Linked DNA regions of Saccharomyces cerevisiae S288C. The protein of the gene in region 1 binds, or shares a complex with, the protein of each later gene. Each region holds a gene or a part of one and is shown in the gene's direction. Other genes may lie near its edges.

Evidence for each region.
Region 2: the proteins of REV7 (region 1) and POL32 are in contact, whole or in part, in a cryo-EM structure (PDB 7LXD), measured with the Saccharomyces cerevisiae proteins. Residues at the interface, in NP_012127.1 of Saccharomyces cerevisiae: Tyr23 (codon at 4,145), Tyr34 (codon at 4,178), Pro43 (codon at 4,205), Gln44 (codon at 4,208), Phe45 (codon at 4,211), Thr111 (codon at 4,409), Asp115 (codon at 4,421), Arg118 (codon at 4,430), Ser119 (codon at 4,433), Asn122 (codon at 4,442), Ser123 (codon at 4,445), Ile125 (codon at 4,451), Met126 (codon at 4,454), Glu129 (codon at 4,463), Lys130 (codon at 4,466), Val203 (codon at 4,685); in NP_012577.1 of Saccharomyces cerevisiae: Phe14 (codon at 1,742), Thr15 (codon at 1,745), Glu16 (codon at 1,748), Val17 (codon at 1,751), Lys18 (codon at 1,754), Lys51 (codon at 1,853), Pro90 (codon at 1,970), Met91 (codon at 1,973), Asp92 (codon at 1,976), Ile95 (codon at 1,985), Pro96 (codon at 1,988), Tyr97 (codon at 1,991), Asp99 (codon at 1,997).
Region 3: the proteins of REV7 (region 1) and POL31 are in contact, whole or in part, in a cryo-EM structure (PDB 7LXD), measured with the Saccharomyces cerevisiae proteins. Residues at the interface, in NP_012127.1 of Saccharomyces cerevisiae: Asp33 (codon at 4,175), Tyr34 (codon at 4,178), Thr35 (codon at 4,181), Thr36 (codon at 4,184), Tyr37 (codon at 4,187), Ser39 (codon at 4,193), Phe40 (codon at 4,196), Asn41 (codon at 4,199), Phe45 (codon at 4,211); in NP_012539.1 of Saccharomyces cerevisiae: Asn224 (codon at 2,458), Thr225 (codon at 2,461), Ser226 (codon at 2,464), Pro227 (codon at 2,467), Leu230 (codon at 2,476), Asn272 (codon at 2,602), Asp274 (codon at 2,608), Glu275 (codon at 2,611), Ile278 (codon at 2,620).

What each region holds. Positions count from the first base shown.
Region 1 is NC_001141.2:84,643-92,794, reverse strand, and holds REV7 (Rev7p), read left to right. Parts: upstream 1-4,078; coding exon 4,079-4,816; downstream 4,817-8,152. Other genes in the region: TMA108 (Tma108p), read left to right, coding at 7-2,847; tropomyosin TPM2, read left to right, coding at 3,080-3,565; AXL2 (Axl2p), read right to left, coding at 4,958-7,429; chaperonin-containing T-complex subunit CCT2, read right to left, coding at 7,910-8,152. UniProt on the Saccharomyces cerevisiae protein: Required for DNA damage induced mutagenesis. Involved in DNA repair, mitochondrial DNA repair and translesion synthesis. Has a role in the bypass of abasic (AP) sites.
Region 2 is NC_001142.9:515,961-519,215, reverse strand, and holds POL32 (DNA polymerase delta subunit POL32), read left to right. Parts: upstream 1-1,702; coding exon 1,703-2,755; downstream 2,756-3,255. Other genes in the region: VPS55 (Vps55p), read left to right, coding at 31-453; NUP85 (Nup85p), read right to left, coding at 2,927-3,255. UniProt on the Saccharomyces cerevisiae protein: DNA polymerase delta (DNA polymerase III) participates in chromosomal DNA replication.
Region 3 is NC_001142.9:447,414-451,165, forward strand, and holds POL31 (DNA-directed DNA polymerase delta subunit POL31), read left to right. Parts: upstream 1-1,788; coding exon 1,789-3,252; downstream 3,253-3,752. Other genes in the region: APL1 (Apl1p), read left to right, coding at 1-612; LSO1 (Lso1p), read right to left, coding at 1,064-1,345; SUI2 (translation initiation factor eIF2 subunit alpha), read left to right, coding at 3,607-3,752. UniProt on the Saccharomyces cerevisiae protein: DNA polymerase delta (DNA polymerase III) participates in chromosomal DNA replication.

The sequences.
Region 1 (8,152 bases):
ACCATCATGTCTGATAATTTGTTATCTTTAGAGAATCCGGTGGTGCCTAGTCACTATGAGTTGCGTCTAGAAATTGACCCTAAGCAGTCGTCGCCCAATTTCAAAGGATCCGCCATAATCCATTTGAAATTCAATCCGAACTCCACCACCTTAGCTTCTATCGAAGACAGTTTTACCCAGTTCAAGTTACATTCCAAGGATTTGATTGTGTTGTCTGCACATGCCACCATAGGGTCTACTAAGTTTGATCTAAAAATTTCTCAGGACACTGGAAAGCATTTGTCGATTTTCAACTCTGAATCTCCTATTCAATTGTCCAACGATTGCCCTCTGATTTTGTCCGTGCAATACGTGGGTAAAATTCGTGACATAAAAACACATCATGATAAGACTTTTGGTATTTTCAAAACCAATTTTATGGATCGTAAAACCGGTACTGCCAATAATCACGTCGTTGCTACTCACTGCCAACCGTTTTCCGCTAGCAATATTTTCCCATGTATTGACGAGCCTTCAAACAAGTCCACTTTTCAATTGAACATTGCAACGGATGCACAATATAAAGCCGTTTCCAATACTCCTGTAGAGATGGTCGAAGCTTTGGATAGTTCTCAAAAACATTTGGTGAAATTTGCCAAGACACCTTTGATGACTACTTCCGTATTTGGTTTTTCTATTGGTGATTTAGAATTTTTGAAAACGGAAATCAAGTTGGAAGGTGATAGGACTATTCCCGTTTCAATTTATGCACCTTGGGATATTGCTAATGCAGCTTTCACTTTAGATACAGTCCAGAAATATCTACCTTTGTTGGAATCCTATTTTAAATGTCCATACCCTCTGCCAAAGTTAGATTTCGTCCTACTACCATATTTAAGTGACATGGCAATGGAGAACTTTGGTATGATCACCATCCAACTAAACCACCTGCTCATACCACCAAATGCCTTGGCCAATGAAACCGTCAGAGAGCAAGCACAGCAACTCATTGTCCACGAACTCGTTCATCAATGGATGGGCAACTACATATCTTTTGACTCGTGGGAATCTCTTTGGTTTAATGAGTCTTTCGCTACTTGGTTAGCTTGCCACATACTAGAACAGAATGGTGACCTATCCCATTATTGGACCTCGGAACCTTATTTACTACAGCAAGTGGAGCCGACCATGTGCAGAGATGCAGCTGACGTTAATGGAAGAAGCATATTTCAGATTGCGCAACGGAACACTGGCATAGATTCTCAAACCTCCGATATTTTTGATCCTGAGGCATACACAAAGGGTATTATCATGCTGAGGTCCCTGCAATTGGCTACAGGCGAATCTCATCTACAAAAGGGCCTGGAAAGTGTATTTGAAGATACTAAAACATTTCATGCGAGAAGCGTCAAACCAATGGATATATGGAATCATATCGGAAAATTTTTGAAGTCTCAAAATATTACAAACTTTGTTTCATCTTGGACAAGAACGCCAGGCTTACCTGTCGTTAAGGTCGAAGTAGAAGAGAAAGACGGGAAAACGCAAACAAAATTGACTCAACACAGATTTATCAATCAATTATCTACTGAAGAAAAGGATCAGTTAGAAGATGTCCCATATCAGGTACCCTTATTCGGGGTTCTGCCAGATGGTAAAATGGATACTAAAAATGTACTATTGACGGATAGGACCTTAAAGTTCGATTATCCTATCTTAGTAATTAACCATTTAGCCCAAGGTTATTACCGCGTTTCATATGAGTCCGAAGAGTGCTATGCATTGATTAATGATAAAATAACTGAGGAGACGTTATCCGAGATTGACCTTCGGAAGATTTTCTTAGACTTGTCGCAGTTTATTGGAGATGAGGGTTTCCAGAATTCTATTCATTTGCACGGTCTCTTTAAGATACTAAACCATATCGCTTCTCCTTCCACAAAGATTGCATCAAAATATTGGGATCCTCTTTCCAAGGGGTTGGAAGTTCTGCAAACGATCGATCGTGCCAGTTTAACGAGCTCTAAATTACAATCTTTCTTAAAGAAAAAAATTGTCATTCCCCTTTTCAATAAGATTGATTGGCCCCACGGTGAATTTGATAAAAGCACAAACCCTCACGAGTTGAAAGTCATGTCTCAAGTCTTGTTTTTAAATAAAAACTCCGCAAAATGTGCTGAATTGTGTCAAATTTATTTTAAACATCTATTACAGGGCCCACGTTCGAGCGTACCGTTAGAATTAGTGAACTCAATCCTTGTCGTCGTATCGCAACATTGTGCAAACATCAAGCAGTGGAAGAAAATATTCGATTTGGTGAAACGCAGTTCCTGTACTGGTATCACAAACCATGTCATTAATATGTATGACCAAAACAGTAGCGAAACCGCCATGTTGATTCAAAACGGTGCAATAGAATCTCTTGGATTCTGTTTAGATTCTGATATCGTGAAAAAAACTTTGAATTTTATCACTTCCAATATTGAGTCAGAGGGGATGGAACTGGCATTATTCGGATTTAATTACAACTTTAAGAAGAGGCTGAACAAAAACGAGAAACCTCAAGACCAAGTCGTTCGTGAAACGATCTGGGAGTGGTATATGGGCAATTTTGACCAATGGGCACGGAAGGCTACAAGGAAAGGTACCACCACGGGGGATCATCTACACAAGGCGTTAAGGAGTATTTCCCTGATAATCTTTCAAATGTTTGTAGCAGACGAGCCACAGAAGATAGAAAAGTTTATTAATTTGGAGAAAGAGAAGTTGGGTCAAAGCTTGTTATCTTTGGACGACATCTGGGCCTCTGTCCAGCAAGATGAAGAGTCCAGAAAGACTATAAGAAGAGACTTGGCCTCCTTGGTCTGATTTTTTACAAGTATTTCAACACACTATCGTACGTAGATTTAGTAGTCTTCTAAAATAGTACTATAAACGATGTTCTCTTAGCAGAATTCGAGTTATTATTGTCATATACTACGAAAAACCTGTAGATTCAACAATAATAGGTTGGTATAAAAGAATGTAAACATAAGGAATATTAATCTAGTAATTTTTTTCTCATGAGGTTGAGAAAGCATCTAAAATAGCAATTAGCAAAATGGAGAAGATCAAAGAGAAATTGAATAGCTTAAAATTAGAATCTGAGTCATGGCAAGAAAAATATGAGGAGCTGAGAGAACAGCTCAAAGAATTAGAGCAATCTAACACTGAAAAAGAAAACGAGATTAAATCTTTGTCCGCTAAAAACGAGCAACTCGACAGTGAAGTGGAGAAGTTAGAGAGTCAATTGTCTGATACAAAGCAATTGGCTGAAGACTCCAATAACTTGAGATCTAATAATGAGAACTACACCAAGAAAAACCAGGATCTAGAACAACAGCTAGAAGACAGTGAAGCCAAACTGAAGGAAGCAATGGATAAACTGAAAGAGGCCGATTTGAACTCTGAGCAAATGGGTAGAAGGATCGTTGCTTTGGAAGAAGAAAGAGATGAATGGGAAAAGAAGTGCGAAGAATTCCAAAGCAAATATGAAGAAGCTCAAAAAGAATTGGACGAAATTGCTAATTCATTGGAAAATTTATGATTCCCATTGATAAGACTAAAATTACGGAAGATACAAACGACAAACGCGCTAAAGGCAACGGAGGTGATGATTTTATTATTGCTCACACAACTGATGTTGCTGACAGATGGCAAATCCTTTTCATTTTAGTTATTATCATTGGGTGCTTTTTGGAAAAAAGATGAACTAAGCCTCTCTTTATTTCGTCCATTTTATTCTAGCTTTTACATTATGCTTTCACCTTTACCAAAAAATAGTATGTATTTCTTTTCCCCTTGCTATAAATCAAAAGTACGTAGAAACATAAACAGGCGAGAAATACATATGCATATACGTCTACACTACTAATTTAATTTCCACTTTCTTAATATCAGTCAATCGAAACCACTAGCTTTCACACTAAGACTAGACCCTGTTTAACTAATATAAACTTTTCCAGAAAGCTAAAAAAAAGGTCGGAAAAAGAAGGTATACGTTTTTGCGACGACTGAGATCCAAGAAGAAAAAAAAAATAGTAATCGTTGCGTCAGCTTTATGAATAGATGGGTAGAGAAGTGGCTGAGGGTATACTTAAAATGCTACATTAATTTGATTTTATTTTATAGAAATGTATACCCACCTCAGTCATTCGACTACACTACTTACCAGTCATTCAACTTGCCGCAGTTCGTTCCCATTAATAGGCATCCTGCTTTAATTGACTATATAGAAGAACTTATACTGGATGTTCTTTCTAAATTAACGCACGTTTACAGATTTTCCATCTGCATTATTAATAAAAAGAACGATTTATGCATTGAAAAATACGTTTTAGATTTTAGTGAATTACAACATGTGGATAAAGACGATCAGATCATTACGGAAACTGAAGTGTTCGACGAATTCCGATCTTCCTTAAATAGTTTGATTATGCATTTGGAGAAATTACCTAAAGTCAACGATGACACAATAACATTTGAAGCAGTTATTAATGCGATCGAATTGGAACTAGGACATAAGTTGGACAGAAACAGGAGGGTCGATAGTTTGGAGGAAAAAGCAGAAATTGAAAGGGATTCAAACTGGGTTAAATGTCAAGAAGATGAAAATTTACCAGACAATAATGGTTTTCAACCTCCTAAAATAAAACTCACTTCTTTAGTCGGTTCTGACGTGGGGCCTTTGATTATTCATCAGTTTAGTGAAAAATTAATCAGCGGTGACGACAAAATTTTGAATGGAGTGTATTCTCAATATGAAGAGGGCGAGAGCATTTTTGGATCTTTGTTTTAAGTGCAAAAATGAAATTTGAAGAATGGAATTAAAATTAAATGTCTCTAAGTATAAAAACTAAATAAAATATAGGGTATCTGTAAACCACTAATAAAAAATAAAACAGGAAAATAAAATTAAGCAAAATATCGTTGCGTATAATCACAGCATTTCTGGGATGCGTCCGTGAATGTCCTTAACTTGACCAACATTGACATTACTCTTATTTGAAAAATCTACTAACCTTTTCTTACTTGGTCTTCTGTCTGGTTCCATGCTATGGACCCAGCAAAAATTTTCACCATCTTTAACCGGAACAAAATCGTCAGAAGATGAAGTTGACATTGTTGTGGGAGTGATTCCGTTTTTACCGCTTTGAGAGTCTTGAATATTTTGTAAGTGGCGGTTACGATGCTTCGTTACGTTATATGGTGATGGTGTTACTGATTTTCTTACGGGAGAAGGGCTAATATTGCTGTTCCAAGGGTCCAGTGAAGACATAGTGACATCCCTTGACGTACGTTTTTCCTTCTCTGGTGCTTCTAAATCGAAAAGTTTTTCTGTATCAACAGTTTTTTGTGATCCGTAACTGTCTCTGACAATATCAGAGACTGGTGACAGGTTGCCAGTATATCGCCAGGATTTATTTACTGCTGGTTCACTATCCATATACACAGAAGAAGACCTATTCTGTGGGTCAAAGAACGGGCTCTCTGGAGGCTGTACTGGGGGTTTTGCTAATAATTCTTCTTTACTTTGGGATTGGAACTGATCATTGTATGTATTCATACCTGATAGAGAATCTCTCTTTTCATCCACGCTGGAAATATCAGATTCAGTGGCAGAGTGGTTATCCAATTTCAAAGTGTTCAAAGCAGCCAATCTTCTTGCTATTGAAGTATCATCGTACGAGGAAGCATCATCATCAAAGGGGTTGTTCAAAGGTGTAGCGTTTTCTTGATTTGGTTTATTTGCAGGATTATTCAAATCAGGTCCACTAATAGCATGCGGTAAGTTTTCATCGTCTGGATTTTCCCTTCTGCGTCTCCAGAATATTAGGAAGCAAATGAGAGCTACTAGGATAACGCCTAATGGGATAGCAACACCGCACGCAATTGCTACTGCTTTTTTATTGTGAGATGAAGTTTTATTGGCTGCTGGCAGCGCTGCTGGAGCAGAAGAAGTAGCAGCAGCGGAGGTAGAAGAAATTTTTGCAGTGTAAGTAGAAGATGTGTAAGAACTTGTTGAGGTGGAGTGGTGAGAACTTCTTGTGGACGTTGCATTCGCACTGTGGTTTGAGTGAGTTATCTTTGAATCCATGCCAATGATGTTAAAATATAGCTCTTGAGATTGTGAACCTTGGTTCGCTTTCAAACCTAATGAAAGCTTGTCGAAATTCTTGGGCACTTCTCCAGCTAATGTTAAATTAGATGATTGGAATTTCACCCAGTCATGGTCTTGGCTTGAATTAGTAAACTCTAATGAAACGTTTGTATTCACGTAGTCTGTAAACTGAGAAGGCAAAAAATAGTAGGAGAACCATTCACCCCTTGTAGCGTTAATATTGGGAAGAGAACTAATGGCAAACAAATCCGTTGTGGAGACAACTTCGAAGTTGAAATAAATCACATCACCATAAGTATCATAAATGGACACAGAAAAATTGGCAGGATTGGAGTTCTTACCGAGTAATTCATCTGGGACAGACCCGGAAATGGTAGCATTATCTAATGCCACCCAGTCTGGAGCATCCAATAAGTTTATAGAACCCAATTTATCAGAAGAAATAGGATCGTCATCGAGATAAACATAGTTTAGAGGTAAGTCATATGAAACGTTACCTGTGTCAGTAACGTTGATTATCAAACTATTTTGAATAGAGGTAGTTAACTGGTGAGCCCCGATGACTAATTCGAATTCTACCTCAACGGCAGAAAATCCTTCAATGTCTGTAGCGATGATGACAAAACTGTAGCTTGTTTCTGGAGCAATCGCCGAGTTTATCACCGGTGCCGTCCCAGTAAACTTCAACTCGCCAGAATCGAAGAACAGCCAATTGGGTAACGGCGCATTATACAACTGAGAACGTCCGTAATACGACACAATGGATTCTTCGTTAGTGAACATTGAACGGTCAAAAGTCACGTTGAAGACTTCATTAGGATCTAGTTTCAGAGCGTTTTTGCCGTTAGTATAACCATAGTTTTTTAACAACGCCAATAGATTGAAATCTGACGATAGCGAGATGGATGGACGGTTTGTAACAACAAATTGGTATGTATTGTTCAAAGACGTGCTGTCGGCAGAGTCCGTACCCTCGAGTATTACATTGAAATACAACGTGGTGTTCGCATCAGATAGTAAGTCAGAAGAAGGTTCACCTGAGAACGTTCTAGAACTAGAGTCAAACGAAAGCCAGCTCGGTAAGTCGAAGCAATTGTATGTTATTTGAGCTGTCTTGTCTACAGACGATTTATAGGTATCATTGGAAATTTGAAATGTAAACGATTCATTGACTCTTGCCACTGGGGGGTATTGTTTTCCGATAGGATATGCCTCATAGGGCGTGGCCACTACTAGATGGAGTAGTGATATAGTAGCTGTCAGCAATAATGAAATCTGAAGCTGTGTCATGGTAAGTGAATGCTTCTTGATATACGTAGATGTTGGAAGCAGGAAATCGTTTCGAGGAAGATATAATTTTTCTATTAAGTAATTGTTCTGTTCTTCTAGTGATGGTGGCTGTTGCAGTGTCAATCACTACAGGATGTGAGAGTAAAGAATAAGAAAATAAGTTCTCATATGAAAAGTGAAAATTACTCGACAAAGGAGGGCGACTCTCGGCAAGGAGCTTTGAGGTTGTGGAGATGCTATCTTTAACCATACCTACGATGGGTATTATTACATTCTTGAGACAGGGCTCGAGTACTGCTCGAAGAGGAAACATAAGTTGCCAAAATTTATTTGTGACGCGAATTGCCAAAAGTTCTATGACGCGTTGTTCTTTTTTTTTCGCGTCTTTGAATTATATAGTGGATAATTTTTGCGTTCTGTTTCTAATTATAATAATGACAGTGTGGCGGTTTATTATTTTCGAGGTATATCCTAAATATGTTACATATGTTGTCTATTGGCGGTTCTTGGTCTTGCACGGATGATGTTATCCACCCTTAGTAGAACTTCAGCGGCTTCAGATGCAGAGCTGACTACTGCTCGTTTTAGCTTGTAACTCTCGACGATACCTAACTGTCTCATGTCGGCAATGGTTCCGTTGTTGAGATCTAAACCTGAGGTGGAGATACCGTTGTATATGGAGGATCTTAGTTTGGACACAAGTTCGCTGCTGTCAAAACCAGC
Region 2 (3,255 bases), on another chromosome or scaffold:
GAATCTTAATACATAAAATCCCAGACGGTTATGATGGAATTCAAAGTGTCACCATTGACAAAGATTATTTCTCTGTCAGGATTCCTCGCATTGGGATTCCTTTTGGTCATACTAAGCTGCGCATTATTCCATAATTACTACCCACTATTCGATATTTTGATCTTTTTGCTTGCCCCAATACCAAACACAATTTTCAATGCAGGAAATAAATATCACACATCTGACTTCATGTCCGATTCATCAAACACTGGCCAAGATCTGGCTCACTTCCTTACAGGAATGCTGGTGACAAGCGGTATAGCACTCCCTGTTGTTTTCTATCATTGCCAATTGATTGGCCATTTGAGTTGTATCATGTGCATGATCGGTGGTCTTATCATATATTCTAGTATTGTTATTTTTAAATGGTTTTTCAAAAAAGATTTCAACGAAGATGATTCCCTTTTTGGTTAATATATAACAATTACTCATCCCCTCAACAGACTAAGCCAACTGGGTGCGTGAACCGTACATTGATATTATATAGTATGATACTCTACTCAAGGTGGGAAATCTGGCGTCGATTTCTCCTTTTTTTTAGAACTACTTAAATATAATAGATTACATAAAATTACTTTCTGTCTTTCTTCCATTTCAAGTTTTCAAACAAAAAATGCCAAGAAATTCGTGTCTTTAGCCTCTAGTTGACAGAATAATGTAGATAGGCAAAGTTGGCTGAATACATCCGTAATTTCGGGATAAGGATTGGCATTGAATCGCCACATGTCTATAATCTTATTTGAATCGATCTATGAGCGGAAACGTTGAGCAATGGTCGTACAACCATTCTGTGCCGCAATATACCTCATGAAAAGAGATGGGATTGCAAACCTTGAGAAATTAGTCTCTAGTAGGATAATGTATTGTACATTTGTTTGATTCCGCAGTTTTTATAGTGGCTTGAGATTTGTATTTCAACTAGATATGTTGAAAATATCCTCGTAGCGAATGTGGACATAGTGATAACAACAATGTCTTTGTCTTCTACACAAAGGTAAAGGTGTATAAAGCTTTACACACAATAAAGACGACACATAACAAATTATGCAACTGCGCTGCTATTGTAGGATAGCGTCCGATATTATCAATTCTTGCTTTTCAGCTTCTATTATATCTGATGACTAGTTCTCAATCTTTACGTCATCTTCCTATGGCATATTTTGTAATGTGCTAGTGACATGAATACTACTATGGATTATAGTAGGATTTCATTCTAACACAGCTCAGTGTGCAAGTTGTTTTTAATTTTACAATATGAATCTTTATTAAGTCTAAAATATTCATAAAAGTTAAGCGCCGTGGCGCAGTGGAAGCGCGCAGGGCTCATAACCCTGATGTCCTCGGATCGAAACCGAGCGGCGCTAAGCTTAATTTTTATATTTTTATCGTTTCACCTTATGAAAATTCTCGATCAGTATGCCTCAATATAGAACACTTCATTAATGGAAGTACCTTAATAAGGTTATACTAACGAATAGGTCTATTTTCCACTACGGTGTAACTTTCCGACGGAAGTAGTAAACGCGTATGAGTTAAACACGCGAAACTCTTAATTTTGAAAAGTACGCAGAAGTTCGTTACATCGCAATCAGATCAGCTCGAAATAATATTTCACATTAACTAACAACCAGAAATAGGCTTTAGTTAACTCAATCGGTAATTAATGGATCAAAAGGCGTCATATTTTATCAATGAGAAGCTCTTCACTGAGGTAAAGCCCGTCCTTTTTACGGATCTAATTCACCACTTGAAGATCGGCCCATCCATGGCCAAGAAATTAATGTTTGACTATTACAAACAGACCACCAATGCCAAATACAACTGCGTAGTGATATGCTGCTACAAAGATCAAACTATTAAAATTATTCATGATCTTTCCAACATTCCACAGCAAGATTCAATAATTGATTGTTTCATCTATGCCTTCAATCCCATGGACAGCTTCATACCATATTACGACATTATCGATCAAAAGGATTGTTTAACCATTAAAAATTCATACGAACTTAAAGTTTCTGAATCATCGAAAATTATAGAGAGGACTAAGACGTTAGAAGAGAAATCTAAACCTTTGGTAAGGCCTACAGCAAGATCAAAGACCACGCCAGAAGAAACAACCGGAAGGAAATCCAAATCTAAAGACATGGGTCTCAGGTCTACTGCACTGCTGGCTAAGATGAAAAAGGATAGAGATGACAAGGAAACCTCTAGACAAAATGAGTTACGTAAAAGGAAAGAGGAGAACTTGCAAAAAATAAATAAACAGAACCCTGAAAGAGAAGCTCAAATGAAAGAGTTAAATAATCTTTTTGTCGAAGATGACTTAGATACAGAGGAAGTAAATGGAGGGTCCAAGCCCAACTCACCTAAAGAAACTGACAGCAACGATAAGGACAAAAACAACGATGATTTAGAAGACTTGTTGGAAACGACAGCAGAAGATTCACTTATGGATGTACCTAAAATACAGCAAACAAAGCCTTCTGAAACAGAACATTCAAAGGAACCTAAATCTGAAGAAGAGCCCTCCTCTTTTATTGATGAGGATGGATATATTGTGACAAAGAGACCCGCAACTTCAACACCACCACGCAAGCCATCACCCGTGGTAAAAAGGGCATTGTCGTCTTCAAAAAAGCAAGAAACGCCGTCATCGAATAAAAGGTTAAAAAAGCAAGGAACATTGGAAAGCTTTTTCAAAAGAAAGGCAAAATAATCTTCTTTTTTTTCCAAACACTTTCCATTACTAATTGTGATGTAATGTATAATACAAATGTCAACTTACGTGATAGAAAAATAGATCAATATAAATATATATTGTTGTTTAAATTTACTTATTTTCGTCATATATCCTAATATACCATCCGAAGGACATTACTATACTGATTTACATGAACGCTTGACATAATTTGAAATTTAGTTTCTTTCTTAAATTTTTCAAAAGTGTTGCCATGCTACTAGGTAAGCTTTTATCTGCTTCAATAATGGTTTCATATAAGTTTGAACTTTTTTCATCAGCGTCATCCCATTTAGTTTCTATAACTTCAATGACTGTCGCCACTGAATCTTCATCCATTAGCTTCTTATCATCTAAAAGGAAAATTGGGTACAGGAATTTCGCCACAAGCAAAACCAAGTAATGTTTTGGTAAATAAGGGAATTCAATCAGCAAAAGCAATAGGCGCAGCGCTTGGCCCCAATCTTCTCTGTCCCTCA
Region 3 (3,752 bases), on another chromosome or scaffold:
ATAAAATTCTTCATCAGAAGTCCTACAAAGGAAACTGAAGAACTTTGTATGGATTTATTAAAAGGATGCATCGATCACGAAAATAATCCTGACTTAAGAGATAAAACACTGATGTATTGGAGATTGCTGTCATTAACGAAAACGTCTCGTATATCAAACGCGATAACTTTTGAATCTTTAAAATCAGTACTGGACGGAGAGTTGCCACTAATAGAAATGAACACGAAATTAGATCCCACCGTTTTGGAGGAATTGGAGCTAAACATTGGTACAATAGTATCGATTTACTTAAAACCTGTTTCTCATATCTTTAGATTGAATAAAACCAAACTGCTACCACAAAGTCCTATTTTGAATCCAAACAAAGACCTCTTGCCAGTTGTAGGTAACTCATTTCCTCCAACTGGAGCTAATAGGGACCGTCAAAATTCAGAAAGCCAGTCCTCGACGAAGTCCAGAAAGACTGCTATGATGGATGATTATGATAAGCCCGCTGAAAAAATTAATCAGTTGAAAGGTAAGCGTAAATCTAGTTCAAACAACCCCTCAAAACTATCACGGAAACCCTCAACTTTATTAAGAAAACTCTCTATGAAACGGCCCTTTTCGTGACTGCAAATGATACTAATTCCTGTATTTAAATATACTCATATTTAACGAACAATTATGATGAATGAAAAAACCTGATATAATAGACTTAACTAAGCGATCATAAAAAAATTCAAAAAGTTATTTTATAAAACAATTCAGATGTTAAACTAAAGAGTTAATGTAATATATATACAATGAACTGCGTCATAAATTCCCATAGTTCAGCTCATGGGACATTATCTACTTATAAAGACGTGGCTTGGCAGCATTTCATATATAAGGCTACTGAATGTAAATTTTTCTTCCATTGTCTTTCCCGTGTCCCGAGAACTCAATTCAAGCACTGTTCTTGGGCGTAATAAACCTTCCGGTACTACTAAAATCAGACAAAGGCAGGAAGCCTCGATTTGACCTTTTAACGGGTAAAGCTCTAAAAGTTGCTCTCTGCTCCATATTCTCGTTTTCCGTCATTTCAGTATCTTTTTCCCCTGCCTCCCTTACCTAAAGCTTCCTCTTCGGCGGCTAGTAATTGGTCTCTTTCCTTTTTGGCTCTTAGCTTCTCTGTCTTTTTTTGTTCCATAATCAGCTTCTTCTGGTTAGGGGTTCTCGCACCTTCTTCCCACCTCTGAGCTTCTTGAGCTTCTAGTTGTTGTTTCTCTAGTTGGTCCTTTTCGTAAGCTTGCCTACGTTTTCTTGCTCTTCCTGCTGCCACTTTTTTGGCAGTTTCTGAGTATCTCTTGCCAGTATTATGCATGTTCGCTTCTTCACTATGTTTGGTGGTTTCTAATGACAACTATGCGGTTAGCAAACTTCCAAAAGGCGGTTAATAATACGACTACACATTATCCTATATATATATATATATGTACGCAAGTGCTTAGATTGGAAAAAAGGGTGCAACATTCTCGATTGTTCTATTTCAGCCTGTTGATATCAATCTGTCGTTCAATGCTTTGTGGGTGTGCTTTACCCACTCTTATACAGTAGTTAAGTGGCAAAAAGGGTGTCAAAGGGAAAGGAAAACCAGAGGAAAAGCAAAATAGCCGCCAATACTAACTCTAGATTTATATCATGTTATACGATTAATCAGACGCGTCTGATTAATTTCAAAAGTTAAAATATAAACTATTTTTGAAATCCCATTGCAATAAGCGAACTATAGCTGAATCTTTCCTGCAAAAATGGAAGTGAAGGGCAATGGACGCATTGTTAACAAAGTTCAACGAGGATAGAAGTCTCCAAGATGAAAACTTGTCCCAACCACGAACGAGAGTAAGAATTGTTGACGACAATCTTTACAACAAATCGAATCCATTCCAACTATGCTATAAAAAACGTGACTACGGTTCTCAGTACTACCACATTTATCAATACCGTCTAAAGACTTTCAGAGAACGCGTCTTAAAAGAATGTGACAAGAGATGGGATGCGGGCTTTACCTTGAATGGCCAATTAGTTCTAAAAAAGGACAAAGTGTTAGATATTCAGGGAAACCAACCATGTTGGTGCGTAGGATCCATATATTGCGAGATGAAATATAAACCAAACGTACTGGACGAAGTGATCAATGATACATATGGTGCACCAGATTTAACTAAAAGTTATACTGATAAAGAGGGTGGTTCTGATGAAATTATGCTCGAAGATGAAAGTGGGAGAGTGCTTCTAGTGGGAGATTTTATTCGGTCTACACCCTTCATCACGGGTGTTGTTGTAGGTATACTGGGTATGGAAGCTGAAGCCGGGACATTTCAAGTTTTAGACATATGCTACCCCACTCCTTTACCACAAAATCCTTTCCCTGCACCAATTGCTACCTGCCCCACCAGGGGAAAAATTGCTCTTGTTTCTGGGTTAAACCTCAATAATACATCACCTGATAGGCTATTGAGATTGGAGATTTTGAGAGAATTTTTGATGGGGAGAATCAATAACAAAATTGACGACATTTCTCTAATTGGTAGATTACTGATATGCGGCAACTCTGTTGACTTCGACATTAAAAGCGTGAACAAAGACGAATTGATGATTTCTCTAACTGAGTTCAGTAAATTTCTACACAACATTTTGCCATCTATATCTGTTGATATTATGCCCGGAACCAATGATCCAAGTGACAAATCTCTACCGCAACAGCCTTTCCACAAATCATTGTTTGATAAGTCCCTAGAATCATACTTCAACGGTTCTAACAAAGAAATTTTGAATTTAGTGACCAACCCATATGAGTTTAGCTATAATGGCGTAGACGTTCTAGCCGTTTCAGGCAAAAATATCAATGATATTTGTAAATACGTAATACCATCAAATGATAACGGAGAAAGTGAAAACAAGGTCGAGGAGGGCGAGAGTAATGATTTCAAAGACGATATAGAGCATCGCCTGGACCTTATGGAATGTACAATGAAATGGCAAAACATCGCGCCCACCGCACCTGATACCTTATGGTGTTATCCGTACACTGATAAGGATCCATTTGTATTGGATAAGTGGCCCCACGTTTACATTGTGGCAAACCAGCCATATTTTGGAACAAGAGTAGTGGAAATAGGTGGTAAGAACATAAAGATAATATCTGTCCCTGAATTCAGTTCTACTGGGATGATAATATTACTGGATTTGGAAACGTTAGAAGCAGAGACGGTCAAGATTGACATTTAAATAAAACAAGGAATAATTTCCACATAGATATGCAATTAAGTTTTATATGTAAAAGTGAGCATTCATCGTTCAGCTCAAAATACGTTTCTTGTCACAGCTGGTAGAAAAACTATGAGCGTTTTTTCTTACCCGCAGTCGGAGAAAAATTTTTTCTTCGAAGAGGCGAAAAAGAGAAGAAGAGAAAGCACAAATCTGATGAAATAGTAGTATAAAATCGCATTTACAAATTTTCAACCATTGTTTATTTCCTAGGTCATTAAAGAGTAAAGTGCAATCTGTTTACTAATCAGTTTTTGTCTTCATATTTTTGTGTCTTTTCTGCTGCCTCACGCACCTTCTATAATACACCAAATAATGTCCACTTCTCATTGCAGATTTTATGAAAACAAATACCCAGAAATTGACGATATCGTCATGGTTAACGTCCAGCAGATTGCTGAAATGGGTGCTTATGTTAAATTGTTAGAATATGACAACATTGAAGGTATGATTCTACTAAG